Linked DNA regions of Arabidopsis thaliana. The protein of the gene in region 2 purifies or fractionates together with the protein of the main gene of each other region. This does not show direct contact. Each region holds a gene or a part of one and is shown on either strand. Other genes may lie near its edges.

Region 1 (10,176 bases), on a different chromosome or scaffold from region 2:
GGCGTTTGAAGCGGCGACGTTGAAAACCTCAACCGCCCGTAACGCCACCACAGCCGCTCTAGCGGCTGGAACTTGGTAGCCTTCTTTTTGATCTCTTCGACGAAGATGGTTATAGCCTCCCATTATGTCAACAAATCTTTTGCATCTAACTAGGGTTTCTATGTACGGCATCAAGATTCCGGCATCGCAAGTCCAAAGACCGGAATTATTACTTAACATATTATTAGAGTACGTATTACCGAGAATTTCCCGCCAATTATCAGCGGAAGCTTCTAGAACATCTGGATGAAGCTGGTGGGTTTCGCAGAGAAAGAGGAGGAGGACCACCGCGTCTAGGTCCCGGAGCTTCATGGTGACGGCGTAGGAGGAGTGGTGTTTACGGTGGATGAGAAGAGGATGGAGGAGGGAGAGAAGATGGTTGGCGATGAGGTGAGTTTTGTCAGGAAGAGATAGAGAGAGGAGGTGGCGGAGAGTGAGGGAGAAAAGGGTCGGAGAGGAGAGGACTGCACCGAGGCGGCGGCGATGGTGGTGGGAGATAGAGAGAATGGAGTGAGTCAGATTCGTGAGGTGTGAAGGAGAAAGAGCAGAGAGTGACGCCATGATGATTGTGGTGTTTTCGTCTTCCATATTAAAGATCTTGTGTGCTTCGTTTCTCACTTCTGTTAACACTTTCACTTTTTGACGAATCTTTGCTTTATATATACATTGTATTAAGTCATTAGGAATTTGGTGGAAGTAATAATAAAATATTGGTGATTTTTCTATTAGGGAAAAAACAAATGGTTGTGGTACAAAAGAGATTATTGTCGGCTTTGCTTGTTTGGGTTTTGATGTAATTGATAGATGTAAATTTGGGATTGGAGAATAAAGGTGAAGAAGCAATGAATGGAGAAGAGTTGGCAAAAGTTTTACACTTTAGCAACTGTTGGTGACAGGCATAATTTGCTTGCAAACTTTATGCAATTAAAAAGTGTTTCATTACACTTTAACTATAAATCTTGGAAATATGAAATTTCGAAGGATTTAGTTGGAAAATTGTGTTGAAATTTAACAAACTATATATTTTATTAATGTTACTAGCTCCACAATCTAAAGTTCTAAACCAAACTATATTTTAGTTACATTTACCAAACTTCATCGAAGAATTTGATATTTTAGTTACATTTACCAAAATTCATCGAAGAATTTGATAATGTGAAGCTAGTTAGTGGGACCAGACAAGAGTCTGTGGAGTAGAGTAAGAATTTGGATCGGCTTGTTTATATAAATGTATTTGTCAACTTTCACAACACAAATCACAAACCCAAAAACCTATCATTCACACCTAATGATCAGATAAGATTATTTACCAAACTCATGTTGCTGTTCAGGACAAATAGATGTTTCTCTTACTAGTGTACATGGCTAAACAAAAGCAACAAAACAAGAGGAAGATGATCAAAAGTCAAAACTATATAAAGATATCAAAAACAAAAGGTTCGGCTAAATCCATAGCTTCTTCTACACTTTCAACTGTTGTCTTAAAGAAACAGTATTGAAAGATTAATAATTCACATGACCACACACCATTCTATAACTCTAGTCTCTATGCATTTGTCCCCGTGTGTTGTCCATACTTTCACAAACTCTCATGTTTCACAAATCCCTAAACAAGATTTCGGTGGACACCAACAATGAAAAGTCTTCAATGACTATTCTGACAATACTACCCCTTCCTCCAAAGAAAACTTACCACTATAGCAAAACTAAGCTCACCAAATTGATTGATCCATAGCTCAATGAAGATCCTACTAGAGGGGTTTGGCCATTGAGTTTATTGACTATCACTTAGAAGTATATCAAAAGGAAGGTACACTGACACAGTTTCACTAGTCATACGATCTACAAATTTAATAATACATCAAATCTTCTACACAATCAAAGGGACTCATGAAGAAAGATCGGTTACCGTGAGAACTGAGAAGATATGATAGCAAGTTGCTTCAATTACAAGTAAAGATGACCCACTAGAGAAAAGCAAGAGAACAATTAAAAAAACTCATTATATTATTCTACTGTGCTCGATTTCTATTGCACTAGTGAAGAGTGAGCCCCCACCAAACCCTTATAGTACAAATTCATTCACTTTCTAAAAGCACGATGGATCACTTCACCACATGGGCATCCAATGATAACAGCTTTAGTCAAAATACAAGAAAGAGAAAAAGATCACATAGTATAACATCTGCTTATGTGAGACTTTCTGCTTCTACTAAGACACATGTATTTGTTATTCATCAACTTCGAACTGAACCAGGGAAGAGAGAGACAACAACAGTTTATCAAGCATCGTGAAGTTTGCAGATGGAAATTTTTGATAACCAAATCGACCTAAAACATCCCAACAGTAGAGACAAAAGAAAGTGCTTTGGATCTCTTACCATTGGAATACACCACGAGAATGGAATAGAAACTAAGAAATTACTGCAGAACTTGCAATGTGATTCGTTGGTTGAGAAGGAAGTTCCTGTTCTTTGTAATGTATGCGTTCATTGCCTGGGTTTGTGATGTGAAACGCACCAATGCTACCCTCTTTGAAGTTCCAAGTCCTTGACTGCATGGTAAAAGAAGGCATTAAAATAGTTTCATGTCCTCATATTATCAGTAATCCAGAAACTGCTGCACAACACGACTATAGGCATAGAACACAAAGATTTCTAGATATGATGTCTAACAAGGTGACAAGATATCACATGTCGTACTCGAGAAAATAAAAAAAATATGACAGTCAGGAGTGAGTGCTATCACTCCTCCTATAGTTCCCGGCGAAAGCTATTTATATTACATCTGTACTATTTGCTTATTCTAGTGAGTAATATGATTAAACATCAGTGCAACTGATGAATCAAACAGGAGAGCACTGCCTTTGCAAGACTGCAGGTCCAACTAACGGCTAATCAAATGCGGATCGAGTAAAGTACAAAACAGGGTACTAATAAAATAAGAATTAGTAAACCCAATAATTACTCACACTGTGAGGAACTGGATGGATCCAGGATAATAGAGACAGCCAGATAAGAACCTATCTATGTCATCTGTTATAGCATTCACCGGAATCCCATGTAGTGCAACCTAAACAATATAAAATTTCATCAAATATTAGTTGGTACCAATTACAATTTATGTCAGACCAGTTGTCTGAGAAGTGAGAACAAACCTCGATAATACTATAAGTTATGACAGAATACATAGCTTACCACTTTCCCCTCATAAGGAACAATGGGATCCCACTGAGCACGAGCAGCCTAATCATCGACAAGGAATCAACTCCAGATTAAATAGCCATCTAGCATACGAATACTTTCTTTGTTTGTAAAACGGAAATAAATATGGACTCTATAGAATGTAAAAGGATTACCTTTTCTAATCTATATAGCTTTCCTTTCTTTGCGATATTCCGCAGTGCTTTATCATATGCGGAAAGGGATGGGAACTGCACAAAGCTGATATATACCAACATTGTCGAGAATGAAAAAGGATAGAAATTCATTAGTTTGGATTCGAATTCCTCTCTTCCAAAGTAACAATCCAGAGAATTAATAAAGCTTAAGACTTACACTGCCGCAGGAGTTAAGTTTCCGCCACGCGGATAGTTGAATTTGAGATCATCTGATGTCAGACTGCAGCCCTCGAGTACGTTCATTATGTCTGTCTTCAGAGCATGTTTTGAAAAGCCTGAAAACTTCCCATAAAACCTCCCTGCAAAAAGAAATAAGAAAAACACATCAAGGAACATCCTTCATAGTGAGCTAAACAAAGTCTCAAAACCATAACAGTCAAAGTAAACAAAGTCCGCATTTTTGGATAGCAAAATTCGATAATAGCCTCTGCGGTTAAATTTGAAACCAACATTTTCAATTTCAATAGCTTCAGATATACACACTCCAAACAAATCAAAACTCTGCAATCTATGATCTAGGATCTTTGCCCTCACAAATTGGAGAAATGCTCTCAAAGAAACACTAGATAAATGGAATGAAATAAAAGAGAAAACCTTCTCCCGGAGAACCTCCCGGAGGCGGTGGTAACGGAGAGGCAGGAGGAGGCTGCTCCGTGGCGGTAGATAGGCATTTCCTCCACTCTTGAAGAAACGGAAGCGAGCTACGACTGATTTCCGGATCCAATTTCCGGAGACACAAACTCGATCTGATCGCGCTACGAGTGATACTCATTTCTCACCGGAAAATGTCTAGGGTTTTTCTCTACAGAGAGTCTCAGTGGTGACGATGACGAACACGGTGAAGAAGATTCGAAATTACACCCACATTCGCTACATAAACGACAGCGTTTCACATTCTAAAATAATTCAAAAGCCCACATAATAATTAAAAAAGGCCAAAGCCCATAACGTCGAACATCAATACGGTCCATATTACATTAGTCATTAGAAGGAGTAACGGAAAAAACTTGACCATTAAAGGAAGAAAAAAATGTTTCAAGAATTGAAGTAACAATATTTGATTAAATCTTGTCTAATTTCAATGTTATTTTAGGTATATCAAAAGGACTTTCGCCTTCGTAATTCCCCGAAGGTGAATACTCGCAAATCACTAGGAATCCACGGTTGTTATCGCATTTAGAACGAGCGCATCCAACGGCTGTGGTTGTACGCCAAACGATCTGCGTATAATGACCGCACATGGCACCAGACTTGCACGTATTAGCCACCCGATCGTAGTTCAAACTTTCATCCATCCATTTATCAACAACTCTCCTCGGCGACCAATTCTCACTCCTTTGGTACCTGAAAATATTCTCTCCGTAAGGCCCACCTGAATGGGTCATTTTACAATCCGATTTACGTTGTTTGGCCCATTTAGATGCGAAACGGGCCAACCCTTGATCCCATCTTAGATTCGACGCGCCTGAAGCTACACGCGCTGCGTTGTGCGCGAGTAAGAACTCCGCGGATTGCTTATTCCTCCTTCCTCTGTTAGTCGCACGTGCGGCTGCGGCTTTGGTGTCCGGTGATGAAGTTCCTGCGGTGGAGGGAAATTCTCCGGAGAAGATTAATAGGAGGAGGAGGAGAACGGAGGAGATGGAGAGACAAAACGGATGATATAACGAAGACGACGACATATCTCTTAGTCGTCGTCTTCGTGTCTCTCATTTTCAATCTTCTCTGTTTCTCAGGTTTTGTTGTTTCACTTTTGAAAACATTCATTATTCGGTTAGTGTTTTGCCATTTTCTGACAAGCTTTGACAGATTGTGTGTCTCATCTTTTTGTTATCTGTTTTTCGTTGTTTTTTTTTTTTGGTAAAAAGATTTCGTAGTTTGTTGACATAATGAATGTCAAAAAAAAAAAAAAAGTCCATACCATAACAAAAGTAAGCTTACTTTGTTCGTTTTAATTTTAAATATTTAAGAATTAGCTTAACAAATTCGGTAAAATTTGGGATTTTTCAATGTAAAATATGATCATTATTTTTGTTTGTGAATATTTTATACGAACGTTACAAATATAATGTATTATAGAATGTGGTATTGAAGAGGGAGAGTGTTTAGAGGGAAAGCGTGAGACGCACGTGGATCTCTGTCCCTCTTTTTTCTCGAAAGCTTGCTTTCCTGTTCTTTCCTTTTGTTTCAATATTCGTTGAAAACATAACAGAGAGAACTAAACGGAAAAAAACCCTGAAAATTAGATAAAAATGCCGATTCGAAAACCGATGATCTGGAGAAATCTTCTTTTCTGTTACATCATCCACATGTGGATTCCAGGTAATAAATTCCACACGACTAATTTTCCCGGGAAACAAAACATGATGTTTGTTTCGTTAACCAACAAACTTTTTATCCATTCACTCGATCGAAAATGATCGATCTTTTCATGATGCTTTTTATTGTTTCCATAGATCGATTTGTGGTTATTTTGCATGATGAAAAAAGAAAACGTCCCAAGAAAAAAGAGATTCAAAGAATTTAAGATTAATGGGGAATTTTCTGTAAAATTAAAATTAAAAATCGTCGACAGCAGGATTCGAACCTGCGCGGGCAAAGCCCAATTGATTTCGAGTCAATCTCCTTAACCACTCGGACATATCGACTTATTTGTATATTTACGAAAAAGATTAATATATGTGTTCATATTCAAAATTTCAGGACTGGTAAGAGGGCAATTTATCACACTCAACTCTATTGAGATATTCACAAAGCACGACTGGTTCAAGCTCAAACATACGGTCTACTTTCAATGCAATGGAGAGAACAAAACTGTTCTTCCAGACGTTACCAAAACAGGTGTCTTGTACACTTTCCGCGGTCAAGAATCATGGCAGGCTAGTCCCAAATCTCTTTTACATCCGTTCATTACTACAATCTATTAATAACATGGATAAATACATATATGTTCTTCACTCTATTGCCTGTTACAGCCTATGACTGGAATTGGTGGCGAAAAGTGTAAACGATGCGGAATCTATGAGCAAGGCAGCCTCGTTTCAGACAAAGAGTTCGATGTATGGGAAGTTTGTCCCACTGATTTCTCTGCTAGCCAAGTTTATATGCATTTTAAAGAAAAGGAGATTAATGCTACTTTTGTCTGCCACGGTTGCGCCAAGTTCCACTCCGGTGAGTAATAACTAATTTCCTTATTTCTGTTTCCTGTCAAAAGAAACGAAAAGATATGATGATGAGTAACATATATGAATTGTATGCAACAAAATGTGTGTAGTATCTTCTAAAGCAGTAGCTGCTTCAAGTCCGCAAGAGGAAGGATATAACGGGTTAACATTCATGATAGCGATCATAGCAGGCGTTTTGTGTACAACGCTTGTTGTGGTTGGAGGCGTTTTTATGTTTAAGCACACGCAAAGGATGAAGAAGCAGCGAGATCAAGCTCGGTTTATGCAGCTATTTGAGGAAAGTGATGAACCTGAAGATGAACTTGGACTTGACCCTGTGATATGACATGTTTTAAGAAGGTTCGTCCACGATTTGTTTTGCATAAAGACTTTTGGTGTTTCATGAATTTTGCAGCTTATATTAGGGAAGAGGATTGACAGTAGGATCTCACTTTTTGTCTTTTGGTATTTGCTTCTCTTCCACATACTTTAGTAATCTCAGTCAAAAATAATCCCAAAATTTTCCAATACTATAAGGCTATTTATTGTACACATTCTAATCCACAAATGCATTGAGGGGAACTCTAAGGTATGTATTACGAAGAAAAGAACTGAATCAGTACCTTCCTTTGAGTTTATCTGACTAATCAACTCGAGCTCGGATTACTTCTGATGGCACGGTTGAAGCTATCCAATTCTTTGGAATCAGGGCCGTATATCGTCTTAATTGTGTCAATGCAGCAGCTGCAACGTAAAAAGATATTTTTCACATTTATCTCTTCCACATTTGTTATATCCCCTAATTAAGATTCAGATACACATTTGATTTAAACACTCTCAGTGTGTAAGAGCTTGTGAAATAGAGTTATACAACCAAGGAGAGTTACCTGACAGCTTCCTTGTTGAATTTCTTTTCTTCAATCCCGTAGAGTGACTTGAAAACCTCTGGCTCAACCCGACAAAAATATGGACGATCTGAACTCAGGAAAGGAAGAAAACGTTCAAAGTTTCAGTCCATAAACAGAGAGAACAATCTGATAGCTAATAATGATTGATTGTTACCAGCATAAATAGAGCATTTGCGTGTAGCTTTGTCGTAGTTTAGACACCATCCATCATCTCCGATCATGCTTCGATACAGCTGGATTAAGCATAAGATTATATATATATTAACGTTTTAACACCTAACAGAGTAATTAAGTCGAACAAGTGGTGGGTGAGAAACAAACAAACCTCAACATCATCAGGGTTGTCGAAGATTTCGTCAGGTGTTGCAAAGGAAAAGTCCTTTGCAATCTTACAGCAAGCTCCACAACCTTCTACGCACTTCCAAGTCAACTCCTTTGTCGTTCCGCCGGAGAAACCGCTTGTCGACATCGTTGGCCGCTTATTCGCCGGCTTGACTTTCTTAGCTTTAGGTTGTGAAACTTGGGACCGCCTCGTGGCAGAGATAATCGTCCTACTCATTGGTGCCGTCGATAACGCAAGCGACATATCCATTTTTCTTTTGGCGCAAATTAGAGAAGCAAGAAATGTTGTCAAGATAAGATTAGAACCCAAATGGCGAAAGCCGGTTCAACCGCAAATTGTGAATTTGCATCCGGTTCAGTCGCAAACCATTTTTTTTATCCGGTTCAGTCGCAAACCATTCTTTATACAACAACAAGATCCACTTTTTATTGTTGGTACATAGCATTGGCTCTCATATATTGATTCTTCAAGAAACAAAAGTTTCAAAAACTTACACGCGTTTCCTTTCTTTGTTTGTTTGTGTACAACCAAACCTCATCTTACTATGATTTTCTATTCTCGTGAAACAAATTGAGCAACAATACACAAAGAGACAAGAAGACAATAACTATGGGTTGTCACAGCTTGGGACAGTTTCTTACAAACTCACTACTCGCATCTTTTGGGTCTTATCAGTGTGTCAATAATAACCCAATAATAATGGCGGATTGTTTTTGTTTTTCTGTCTCCGATTCGAATTGTGCTACAAGGTCAGTGTTTAGAAGGGGTTTATACTGTTCTCTATTGAATATTCATGTTATGTTACTTCGATTAGTTGGTTGTGCTCTGTTTTGTTTTCAGATTGGTGTCAATCTTCAAAAGCGCAGTATTTGGACAGTAGACTAATACGTACATTATTTAAGGGATTACGTTACAGATAATTCGATACTTGTAAAAGTAACACAAGTGATTGAGGATACATTAATTTTGGGCATTTTGGGGTACTGGTAATGTTAAAGTTAAGGTTAAAGTAAACTTGTCTTACTAGGCCCGGCCATAATCTTATAAATACATTTTGGGCCGTTAAAGGGTAATGCTTAAAAGGGTCATTAGTCGATTCATAGCTTTTGCCGTCTTTTCCATGGGAGGCCGATTGTATATAAATATTAAACGTAATTCTTCTGTAGACAAAAGAAAACCTAAAGACATCTGCGTTAGATGGCGAAAAGGCGAGAGAGACGGGGCCGACGACAACATCGTAGCCACCGCAGAATCCAACGAATAATCGATGGTGCAGATTTCATCAACTATATGCCAGATGATATCCTTCACCATATTCTCTCCTTTATTCCCACCGATTTGGCCATGAGAACTTCCGTCTTATCCCGACGATGGAGGCATGTATGGTGCGAGACACCTTGTCTCGACATTACACTCAAGCACGGAGCGATGAACCAAACCCTAACTTCCTACACGGCTCCCATAATCACTAGTTTCAAACTTGTTATGGACCTTAACAGCAACACTGTACCCCAGGTTGATAGCTGGATCGAGTTTGCTCTCTCCCGCAATGTGCAAAATCTGTCTGTGTTCGTTAGGGATTTCACATACTCCAAGACTTACAGATTTCCAGATATCTTCTATCTCAGTTCCTCCTTAAAGCTACTCGACGTGACGTTGGACTTTTTTGATATGATTCCCACATGCACAGTGTCTTGGAAATCCCTAAGGAACTTAACACTGCGTTTTTGTCAAATTCCAGACGAATCCATTCATAATATTCTCTCTGGCTGTCCAATTCTCGAAAGCTTGACACTGGATACATGCAGATTACTTGAGCGTCTTGATCTGAGTAAATCACCGAATCTGAGGAGATTGGATATAAATCAGCAATATCGCCGCACAGGACCAGTTGCGATTGTTGCGCCACACATCTATTATTTGAGACTGACATACTCTAGCACACCATCTACTATAGTGGATGTCTCCTCTTTGAGCGAAGCTAACCTTACCATTATCAGTAGCCTACTCTCTCCCTTGACTGCAGATGGTTATCAAACCATGGCGCTGGAGATGCTATCAAAATTTCACAACGTTAAGAGGCTTACTGTTGGGGAAACCCTTCTTCAGGTATACTCTAAAGTCTAAAACCTGTAGAACTATTATTTGGTTAATAATGTTTCTTTGATGGTTTAGAACGCCAACTTGCTAAGTGGGTTTCTAGCAAACATGACCTTTTAATTTCATCTCGTTTTGTCAGATTCTATCTCTCGCCGAGCTCCGCGGTGTTCCTTTCCCAACGCTCAAGGTCCAAACTTTGACTGTTAAAACGGAGTTCGTTCGATC
Region 2 (10,176 bases):
TTGTAACTCTTTTTGAACCATTTTAAAACTCTTGTTAAACCTTACAAAAAGTTTTATTAAGATTTACAAGAGTTTTTAAAACTCTTGTAAATCTTTTAAAAATCTTTTAAAAACCCTTGTAAACCATTTAAAAATCTTTTTAATAATTTTTGAACCATTTTAAAACTCTTGTGAACACTTACAAAGGTTTTAAAAGATTTACAAGGGTTTTAAAATCCTTGCAAATCCTTTAAAAATCTTTTTAAAACCCTTAGAATTCCTTTAAAAATCAGTTAAAAACCACTGCAAATCTATTTCTCGTTAATTTATTTGTTTTGGCGGAAATTTTATTTCCCGAATATTTTAGGCAGGAAAAATCAATATATGTTTTTGAAAACTTAACTCTATATTTTTAATGTGTCTAATTTAAAAATCTATATTTTTAATGTGTCTGATTTAAAACATTTTGGTTTCATTCGCCAACTTTATGATAAATACTTTTAATTTTAGTTCTCAATATAAGTATACCAAGAGTTATTGCTATGTGATATATTTTTCATTCAAATAATTTAAGTTATTGCTATATTATATATTTTCCATTCAAATAATATTTTAATCAATAATTTTAGTGGTGAAAGAAACAATACAAGAGTGAAAATATTTTTTTTACCTTTGAAAGATAATTTTTACTTACAATGTTGCTAATTATTATTTTTAGTTAAATTTGATTTTACTTATAAAATAATAAACTTGTCTATCGTACCGAACATAAAACTGTGATGTTCCAGATTTGTTGTGTGATGTGGACGTTCCAGTTTTTTTATATAGGTTATCAGCTTCTGGTCATAAGCAACCCTCATCTCATCAGCCTTAGCAATGTAAGGTTGTTTATCCTTCATTGTCAGAAAATGATGTTAACATAACAATTAGTTAAGCTAACAAAGAACTTACAAAGAAATACACTTACAGTTAAAGATTTGTTAATCTTTTTTTTCTTGTAAATTTTGTTTTGAAAAATGTACAACTTCAGAAATTTTATTCCACTAGACTTCACTAGCTTGTAAAGTCTGCATATCTATTCAAATTTCAGAACAAGTACAAATCACTCACAACAAGCTTATCAATTAAGAAAAAAGGACATAATCGAAGTTTTTATTAATCACTACAACAAGTAGCTTTCTTTTTCTTGATGTGTAAATCTTATTGACCTCATTTCTTCATATTATAAGAAGGATGTTACACAAAGTATCACAAAATATTATCTCATTTAGCGACCAAGATGCTAGTATCTCCCATTCAATAATTTCATACAAGTTAGATTCAATTGATTCATATAAATCAGATTCAAAAATACTATTTAAACCAAAGAAAACAATGATTTTGTCCCTATTTATTGTATTCAACATTGAATTTTATGAACTCACTTAGCTTTCATCATGAATATTACTAGTACTATTTATACTTATAATAACCTAAGTGCCTACAATATTTGGAGGTTAAGATGTTTTTGGGTATTTTAAATACTTTTGGCTATATTCGGATAAAAATACTTGGGTTTTGTAGATTTTTGAATATTTTCTAGTAGTTCGCATAGAATCGAATATAAATACTTTTTGATATTTTTTTATATTTAAATACTTCGTTAAACCTAAATCTGAACCGAATCTGAAGTTTTGAAATAAATAAATGGGTCCTATATTTCTAAATCTAAAACCAAAAAAGCCAACCCAAATATCCAAACGTCCAAACCTACCTTGAAGGATAAAGATTATTGCTGTTCTTTTTAAAAATGAGATATTACAATTACCATTTTCTCTAATATGTTAAAATTTTGTTATTTGGTTTAGAATAAAGAATTTGTCACACGCTTCTAAGATGTTAAAACTGTATGATCCATATGCTGCTATTCCGCAGATGTTACTCTCAATGTTCACTAAAAGAAAATGAACAAGTCTCTTTACATTACAGTAATAAATACATTGGAAAGCAGGTGAAAAAAAGAACAAAATCATCATGATGGTGGGCATTGGAATGAAGGCCTTAAAACAATTTTAACTAAAAGTCCATTGAACTACCCAAAAAAAGAGAGTAAAAACATCACAATTTGCGCTTTCTGGAACACCTTGATAAAGATCGTGTTAATTGTTACCACAAACCATATTAAACATTATAGTATTGAGAATTGATAAGTGGTGCACTAACACCAAACATCTGTTATTAAATATAAAATAAAAAAAAAACCTGAAATCCTTGTAGCAACATTTTCTTCTTAGCAAACAACCAAGAAACTATCAAAGAGAAACATGTTATCTTTATTGGCGAAGGCATAATTATAAGTAAAAATAATACAACCCAAAGAGCATCTCATTTTTTCTGGATTTACAAAAGAAAGCAAGAAAAAAGCTCTTGATTAAGATTTTCTATAAACCAAAATACTTAAGAAGACGAGCGAGAGTCACAATCCTAATTGGAAATTAAAGATTAAAATTCGGTGGGAAGAAAGATAGGCTCTAATTAACTTGGCATTATCTCAGCCGTCCACAACAAATAAGCGTCCTCGTCATCATCTTGAGATGATCTTACCTAAACCCTCAATGCCACGGCAGCGATGGTAGTCAGTAAGATGATCGTCGTGGTTCTGACGGATAGCTCTTCTCCACCGTTGGGATCACCACTCGTGCTGCTAGATGGTCCCATAGTAGTACTGTCAGGAAACGTTATCGTAGATGAAGTCGGCTTATCATTAGTGGGTAGTGTGCTGTTTGTTGAATTGCCTGTGGATGGATTTGTGGTGCCTGGACTTGCTGTGGTTGAATTTCCGGTGGATGGATATCCGGCAGTGGGGGTTCCGTTGGAACTACAAAAAGGTTACTCTTATAAACACACTTAAATCATCATCACAATTTTTAAGAAGATATAATTAATATTTTGGTAATAAATCAGTAATAAAGATTCTGTCACACATTAGTAGACAAATGACTGAACTATTTCAACGACTAGAATCATCAGAGAGCTCATTACTGATCTAAAGAAAACACTAAGCAAACGAAAACAGAGGGAAATAACCCTAATCTAAACTCTAAGGCAAGGTGATGTGAAACATACCTAGAACTAGATAAACAGCTTGACGTAGCTGCAAGAACAGAGTAAATAAAGAATCAGCAAAAAAAAAAAAAGATACACATTTGATGAAAAGAAGTTGTGGTTTTAATGGAAGGAATACTCGAAGGAGGGGAAGTGGAGATGACGGCGGCGCCGTTGAAGTCACATGTGGCACCGGTGGAAGCTTTCTTTTGATAGTAGCTGTTAACGGCAACGTCACAGTGGTTCTTGAGGGTGTTTGGTTGATAACAAGCTCCGGTCGTCTGAATCTGTGCACAGTCAGCACCTCCTCCACATGCGAAGTCTATCACCTTCTGAAGATCCAGCTCGTTAGCGTCCTTGCACACACAAACCGCCGCGTCTGTACAAAACAGATATCTCGGATTAGCATTACAAGGAAAACGTAACCAAGAAGCGAAAATGTCGGAACCATTTTGAGTCTTAATGCCAAGGGACAAAGAAATGTTCAAAGAAGATAGAAAGAACTTACTTGAATAGGTAAACATGAAAGAGAGAAGAAACAGAGGAAGCAAAACCGCCATGACTGCTTAAACTTGATCGGACTTGTCTAACACTGAGAGTACCACAAATGTGAGTTTGCGAGTTTGTTAGAGAGAGAGGAGATTATTCTGATATGATGATCGACAATTTATACTCTTTATGATATTTCTTGGGTACTAATAAGCAGAATACCCTAAGGCTTAAGTAAAGAAAAGTTCAGATATTATTGTGTGATGACTTGTAAATGTTAGATTTTGAGTACTCAAAGCAATGTGGGTCTCTGAAACAGAGAAGGTGAAAAGCATTCCTGTCGTCTAGTCAATGTGTGACTGTGGTCGGTCGACGCACGTAATATTGTAGGCTTTATGTGAAAAACTAGCTTTGTTAATTGTTATTCTTACTAATTTGTCACCTAAGTTTACGTACATCTGATGCATTCTTTTTTAGGATTTAGATAAGAGTCTAGCTTTCCACAAAGACAACAAAAGATGCATGCACACGTTTGCAAATGTAAAATGTTATTTAACATATTATAAGATAAAATAAGATAAAGATGTTTTTAAAGTAAAGTAATTTGATTTTGAAGCACTAACCGATGGAAAATAATGGAGAAAAACAGGGAAAAGAACACAAAACAATTGGAAATAGTATACACTCTTTAAAGGCAAAAACTTAAGTATTAAGTACTTTTTAAAGGCAAAGCGGCTAAGCGAGGGAGCCATGTGCAGGACAAACTTTGCATCCGCATTACAAAACGTGTGATTGTGTTACAACGTACAAGTCACAAAGTCACACAAATAATCCGAAATGGTGTTGACAGGGCGACCAGAAATAGCTATAAACCTTACCTAGCTCTAACGTAAGTAATCACTTTTTCCTTCTCAGTAATTTATTTTTATTGCTTCTCTTTGACTCTGGAGATGGACTCAACCTCTTATACAAGCTCCATGGCCGATTAAGGGACTTTGTTGGACCGAACTCCATGAATAATATGCCGTAATCTTAGATAAAAATTCCTTCTTATCATTCTATTTAATTTAAATGGATGTTTTCCTATCATGCTGATGTCAAGTATGAAACTCATCACCAACAATAACCATGAGCGAAAGATCTCGCTTAAATTTGTTGCAAACTGAATCGCTAATACCGAATAAGCGAAAAATATCCCAACACCAACCATTAAAAAGTGATTTGACGTTATATACATCCTTAACTTATATAAAAACCAAGCGTTTAAAACTAAAACCAACAAAAACACACTTGTAAGAAGAAAAACCATAGCATGTCCATTGCACATATGAGGAAGGTGTCTTTAGCAACATTTAAAAAATTTAAATTACAAAATATTAATAATTAAATGTGAGAGGTCTTTAAATTAAAGACATCTTTTCAAAAAAAGGTCTTCACCAAGACATTTAGACACAATGTTTTTAATTTAAAGACACACCTAAACATTAAATAATATATCTTCTGTTTAAATATTAAATTTTAATTGTGGAAGACTCCCTCATATGATGTATGTGTGGTTTCTTTGAAAAATCAAGGTTTGGGCTATATCTATTAATGGGCTGGGCTTTATACTAAAAGACTAAAACATGTCGAGGAGTCAAAGACAACTTCTGAAAAAAAGACATCAGATTTCTTGGATAATCTCTAAAATGCCACTGCCGTCATCGAGAACAGATCGTCACGACCGGAGTTAGTAGTGTCTAAAAACTCATCTGAGAGAGAAGAACTCAGAAAACCCTAAACACAGATAAACCCCAAAACTCAAAAACCAAATCTTTCCAACAATGGCGTCTCATCTCTTTACCCGATCTCGAATCTCTCTCCTCAAAACCCTAAAACCCAATCCTTTTACCTCAGCTTCACCCATCAGAGCCATTTCCGGTACACCATTCCTCTCTCAAGATCCTCTGCTCGCAACCGAATCAACAGATCACGACCCATCAAACCATCAATCAACCTCCACGCCGCTTCCACCGAATCCAGCAACAGGAAGTCCTCTTTACCAAGAGAATTGGCGTAGTCCGATCCCAAACACTCCTTCCTTCAACCAATCTCTAGTTCCATTAGGATTTCTAAATCAAGCTCCTGCTCCTCGTATCAGAGCTCTCTCTGAGACGCTTGACATGAACTCGCTGCTGAATATGTTTGCGGATTGGACTGCTTCGCAGCGTTGGTCTGACATGAAGCAGCTTTTTGAGGTTTGGGTTCGATCGCTTGACAAGAATGGGAAGCCGAATAAGCCTGATGTGAACCTTTACAATCATTACCTTCGAGCTAACTTGATGATGGGTGCTTCTGCTGGAGATATGCTTGATCTTGTTGCGCCAATGGAGGAGTTTTCTGTTGAACCTAATACAGCGTCTTATAATCTAGTTTTGAAGGCTATGTACCAGGCAAGAGAGACTGAAGCCGCCATGAAGCTGCTTGAACGGTTAGATTCTCTGAGTTCGTAGATAGATTCCTTTTTTGTACAATGAACAATGCTTCTAGAAATAGTGTAAAGATTAAGACTTTACATGATTGAACGGTAAGATTTGCTGATGAATCAAAGGTTATCTCTGCATAGCAGCTACTGATACTGTTGTCATGTAAATGTAGATCTTTTCAAAATGTATCATGACTTGATGTAATTTGGTCAGGATGCTCCTCTTGGGGAAGGACTCTCTTCCGGATGATGAATCATATGATTTGGTTATTGGAATGCATTTTGGAGTTGGGAAGAATGACGAAGCCATGAAAGTTATGGACACGGCACTGAAATCTGGTTATATGTTATCCACCAGTGTCTTTACTGAATGTGTTCGTAGTTGTGTAGCCAAAGGTAGGACAGATACACTGGTCTCCATCATCGAGAGGTGTAAGGTACAGATGAGTTTTTTGTTATCTTCTATTGACATTTGAAGCTTTTGCAGTCTCGTTTATCAATTATATGTGTATTTTTGTTTTGCAGGCTGTTGATCGGAACAAGTCTCTTTGCCCTAGCTGGATACTGTGTAACTATATTGCAGAAGTTGCAATTCAAGAGGATAATAGCAAGTTGGCCTTTTATGCGTTTGAATTTATGTTCAAGTGGATCACTAGAGGCGAAATGGCTAGGCCGTCGGTTATTTTTTCTGTTGATGAAGGGTTGGTAGTAGCAGGCCTTGCAAGTGCTGCTAGGACTTGTAGTTCATCTTTAGTGGAAGGATCATGGACGATTCTGAAACAGAGTCTGCGTGGGAGGAAGGCAGCCAACCCTGCATCTTACATTGCAAAGATTAATGCCTATGCATCGTTGGGGAATCTGCAAAAAGCTTTCACTTCACTTCATGAACTTGAATCCGCATACGCAGACTCTGAAAAAGAAGTTGTGGAGGAAATGCTTTCACCTTTTACATCATTATACCCGCTGGTTGTGGCGTGCTCTAAGAAAGGTTTTGAGACATTGGATGAGGTATACCTCGACTCTTCCTAAGGGTAAATATTCTATATATTCTCAGCTTTGTTCGTAACAAGAATTAAGGTAGGGTCTTTGGCTAAGATAGTTGTGAAATTTAATAGAACAAAACCAGAAAACCTGTTTATCGAAGTCGAGTATCATGGTCTGGATATTAATGCATTTTAGAGTGAAGCAGCTATAACGCTTAGCTTATCTGACCTTGCACTGTCACATAATCCACCAGGTATACTTCCAGTTGGAGAGTTTGAGTCAAGGTGATACTCCATATAAGTCTGTTGCTGCTCTAAACTGTATAATTCTTGGCTGCGCAAACACATGGGATCTGGATCGTGCTTATCAGACGTTTGAGGCAATAAGTGCCTCTTTTGGGCTGACTCCTAATATCGATTCATACAACGCTTTACTATATGCATTTGGAAAAGTCAAGAAGGTGCTGTTTCTATGTCAAATCACTCTCTAATATTTTCTTTTCATGAATTAACTATTTGGCCTTACGACTCTAGTCTATTTGCTTTGCAGACTTTCGAGGCCACGAATGTATTCGAGCATCTGGTTAGCATAGGTGTTAAACCTGATTCCCGGACGTATTCATTACTGGTTGATGCTCATCTCATTAACCGGGATCCCAAATCAGCTCTGACCGTCGTTGATGACATGGTAAACCAGAATTAACAGACAAAACCTAACCTCTATGAGAGAATGATGTGTGTCTGAGAAACTAATGCATGTTCTAATTATACAGATCAAGGCTGGATTTGAACCCTCTAGGGAGACATTGAAAAAGCTGAGAAGGAGATGTGTCAGGGAAATGGACGATGAAAACGATGATCAAGTGGAGGCATTGGCCAAGAAGTTTCAGATCAGAATGGGAAGCGAGAACCGCAGGAACATGCTGTTCAACATAGACTACTCCAGGGGCCGAGCATTAAACAATTGAAATCCAAAATGGATGGTTGTAATAACGAACCCTTGTGAGAAGTAAGGAATGAAGCCCCGGCTCATCTAGTTTTGAAGTTATGGATCATCATGCCCAGTGTTTCATTGATGTATATTGCTTCATTTTATTCTTCCGAGTCTCTTAATCTGATTTTTATCCAATACATTACTTGGCTTCTTTTTTTCTTTTTCGGAAACCAATAGAGTTGGGTTCTTACTTTCTTAGGATCGATAGTCTTAGGAAGATGCTTTTGCATTGACCAATAATGTCAAAACCTTTGGAATATTTTGACTTTTATCTTCTTTGAATCTAAAGAGTTAAATTCAACCCTATATTAATTGATTTTAGTTTTAAAATGATTTTATGTTTTTGGATGACTTTAGGAAAAATGTTATTTGTTGTAAAATCTCCCAAATCTCACTTAAAAAAGTTAAAGCCATGAGATTTATAATTTTGTATATTTAACTAAACAAAATTATCTAAAACCCCTTAAAATGAGTGCAAAAAATAACATTCAATAACATTAGATTTTAAAATGAGTGCAGAAAAAGAATTAGATTTTAAAATAATCATTGTGTGTGGGATGAAAGCACAAAGACAAGGCCTTAAATATGGGCCGGCCCAGTTCAGAGATCAAACAAGCACTCCTGTATATATACACAAATCACAAACAGCTTATGAGAAGTTTTCAACACATTTGGGATCAAAGCCACAAAACCCTAAAAAATGGGTGGAAGAACGGACGAAAGTGGCGGAGGAGGTAAAGAGAAAGAGGAAGAGCAAGATGGTTTGTCCGTACACTCTCCCTGTAAAGCTTTACCTTCCTCCGCCTCCTCTCTCTCCAAGGTCTCTCTCTCTCTTTCTCTCTATCTCTCTACCATTTCTGTTCCTGAGATTTTAAAGGTTCCTCTTTTATTGGATTTGCTTCTCAGGAGCAGTCACAGGTTGAATTAGAGCTAAGGTTATTAGAAGCCCTTGAAATCTATCCTCCTGTTAAACTCCGAGGCAAGTTTCACTTCTCAAATCTTGATCCTTTAGCTACGTTCTATATGCTTCTGCCAATGTTTACTTTTGTATCATGATAGTTATCAGAAACCATTATCAAATGCAATCATTTCAATGTCTATTGTTCTTGCACATTGATCAGTTTGTTGGTTTCTTGATTTCTTCTGCTAATGGGATCATGATGGTGTGCAGGGATACATCGCCACTTTGTTCTTTATGGTCTGATGGAGTATCTCGGAAGAAGGTTTGTTGTTCTCAGAGTTTCTTTCATACTTCCAATACATACATGAGTCTCTGATCCTTATTGATTGAGTCTTTCTATCAAACTATTCCTGTACATAGCTTTGACCGACCGTTCACTGCGGATGAGGTTCTGCAGCTACTCGATCGTTTTTACAACATTGAGATGCTGGTGAGTAGTAATTACAACAAGCATTGATTGTTATTTTGGTCCCATAGCTTTAGTTTCACTTCATGGCATTGTTTAGAGTTGTGGTGATGGTTTTATTAATCTGTTACCTCTGTTTTGTTTCTTAGAAATCAGATGATGAGGACATAGACATTCTGAATCACGAGGAAGACTTTACCTTGCCGCAGAGTTTCTTTGATAAGGAAGAAGAATGACAGAGGAAGAAGAAAAGATGTTTTCTTTTCATTCATCTTCTCCCATCTTTTTGTATATGGTTAGGTTTTGTCTTCAGCTCTTATGATAAGCTTTTTTCTATATATTCTGAAGTTTTAATGTCAATAAAACCATCAGGATCAATGAATAATCTTTTTGTTACTCTGTCCAGAGAGTTAATAATCATAACAAGCTTTTTGCGGTTTTCGCTCTTTTCATGTTTGCATTTAGAGCCAGGGTTGTGTTTGTTTGGCAATTTTTGATACACATTTGATTGATCTGATGGGAATGTATGATAGCAAAAGCATATGCTGATCAAATCATAATAAAATTGCGTAACATAAAATACTTGATGACATGAAAATTGAGAACAAAATAAAGAAGACGAAAAGTAATACAAAAAAGAAACAATATAGGATTGAATTCAATTGTCTCTGATCTCATCTTCCTGATGAAACCAAGCTATGGAATTTAAAGGAATTTGCCTCCCCCTTCTGGACATCGAATCTAAATCTCATTCAACTTCCAAGCCCTTTGATCAGTTCTGAAACGAACAAACAAAAGAGTGAGCCTTTAGACCCA

What was found.
Region 1: the proteins of AT1G26460 (region 2) and AT5G02740 fractionate together in Arabidopsis thaliana (co-fractionation; one large-scale study listed by BioGRID). This does not show direct contact.

The regions. Positions count from the first base shown.
Region 1 is NC_003076.8:610,552-620,727, reverse strand, and holds AT5G02740 (Ribosomal protein S24e family protein), read right to left. Parts: upstream 4,305-10,176; 5' UTR 4,212-4,304; coding exon 4,034-4,211; intron 3,739-4,033; coding exon 3,597-3,738; intron 3,483-3,596; coding exon 3,398-3,482; intron 3,285-3,397; coding exon 3,237-3,284; intron 3,112-3,236; coding exon 3,011-3,111; coding exon of another isoform or gene 3,007-3,010; exon of another isoform or gene 2,594-3,006; coding exon 2,461-2,593; 3' UTR 1,880-2,460; downstream 1-1,879. Other genes in the region: SGR9 (RING/U-box superfamily protein), read right to left, coding at 1-627; AT5G02730 (CAP (Cysteine-rich secretory proteins, Antigen 5, and Pathogenesis-related 1 protein) superfamily protein), read right to left, coding at 4,501-5,118; AT5G02720 (valine-tRNA ligase), read left to right, coding at 5,689-5,758, 6,140-6,315, 6,412-6,607, 6,711-6,946; AT5G02710 (zinc/iron-chelating domain protein), read right to left, coding at 7,248-7,344, 7,488-7,575, 7,663-7,741, 7,834-8,100; AT5G02700 (F-box/RNI-like superfamily protein), read left to right, coding at 9,049-9,960, 10,091-10,176.
Region 2 is NC_003070.9:9,146,441-9,156,616, forward strand, and holds AT1G26460 (Tetratricopeptide repeat (TPR)-like superfamily protein), read left to right. Parts: upstream 1-5,187; 5' UTR 5,188-5,375; coding exon 5,376-6,022; intron 6,023-6,230; coding exon 6,231-6,453; intron 6,454-6,541; coding exon 6,542-7,024; intron 7,025-7,253; coding exon 7,254-7,460; intron 7,461-7,549; coding exon 7,550-7,687; intron 7,688-7,772; coding exon 7,773-7,967; 3' UTR 7,968-8,322; downstream 8,323-10,176. Other genes in the region: AT1G26450 (Carbohydrate-binding X8 domain superfamily protein), read right to left, coding at 2,563-2,836, 3,085-3,112, 3,203-3,442, 3,572-3,623; AT1G26470 (chromatin modification-like protein), read left to right, coding at 8,694-8,813, 8,900-8,972, 9,165-9,216, 9,315-9,384, 9,510-9,596; GRF12 (general regulatory factor 12), read right to left, coding at 10,133-10,138.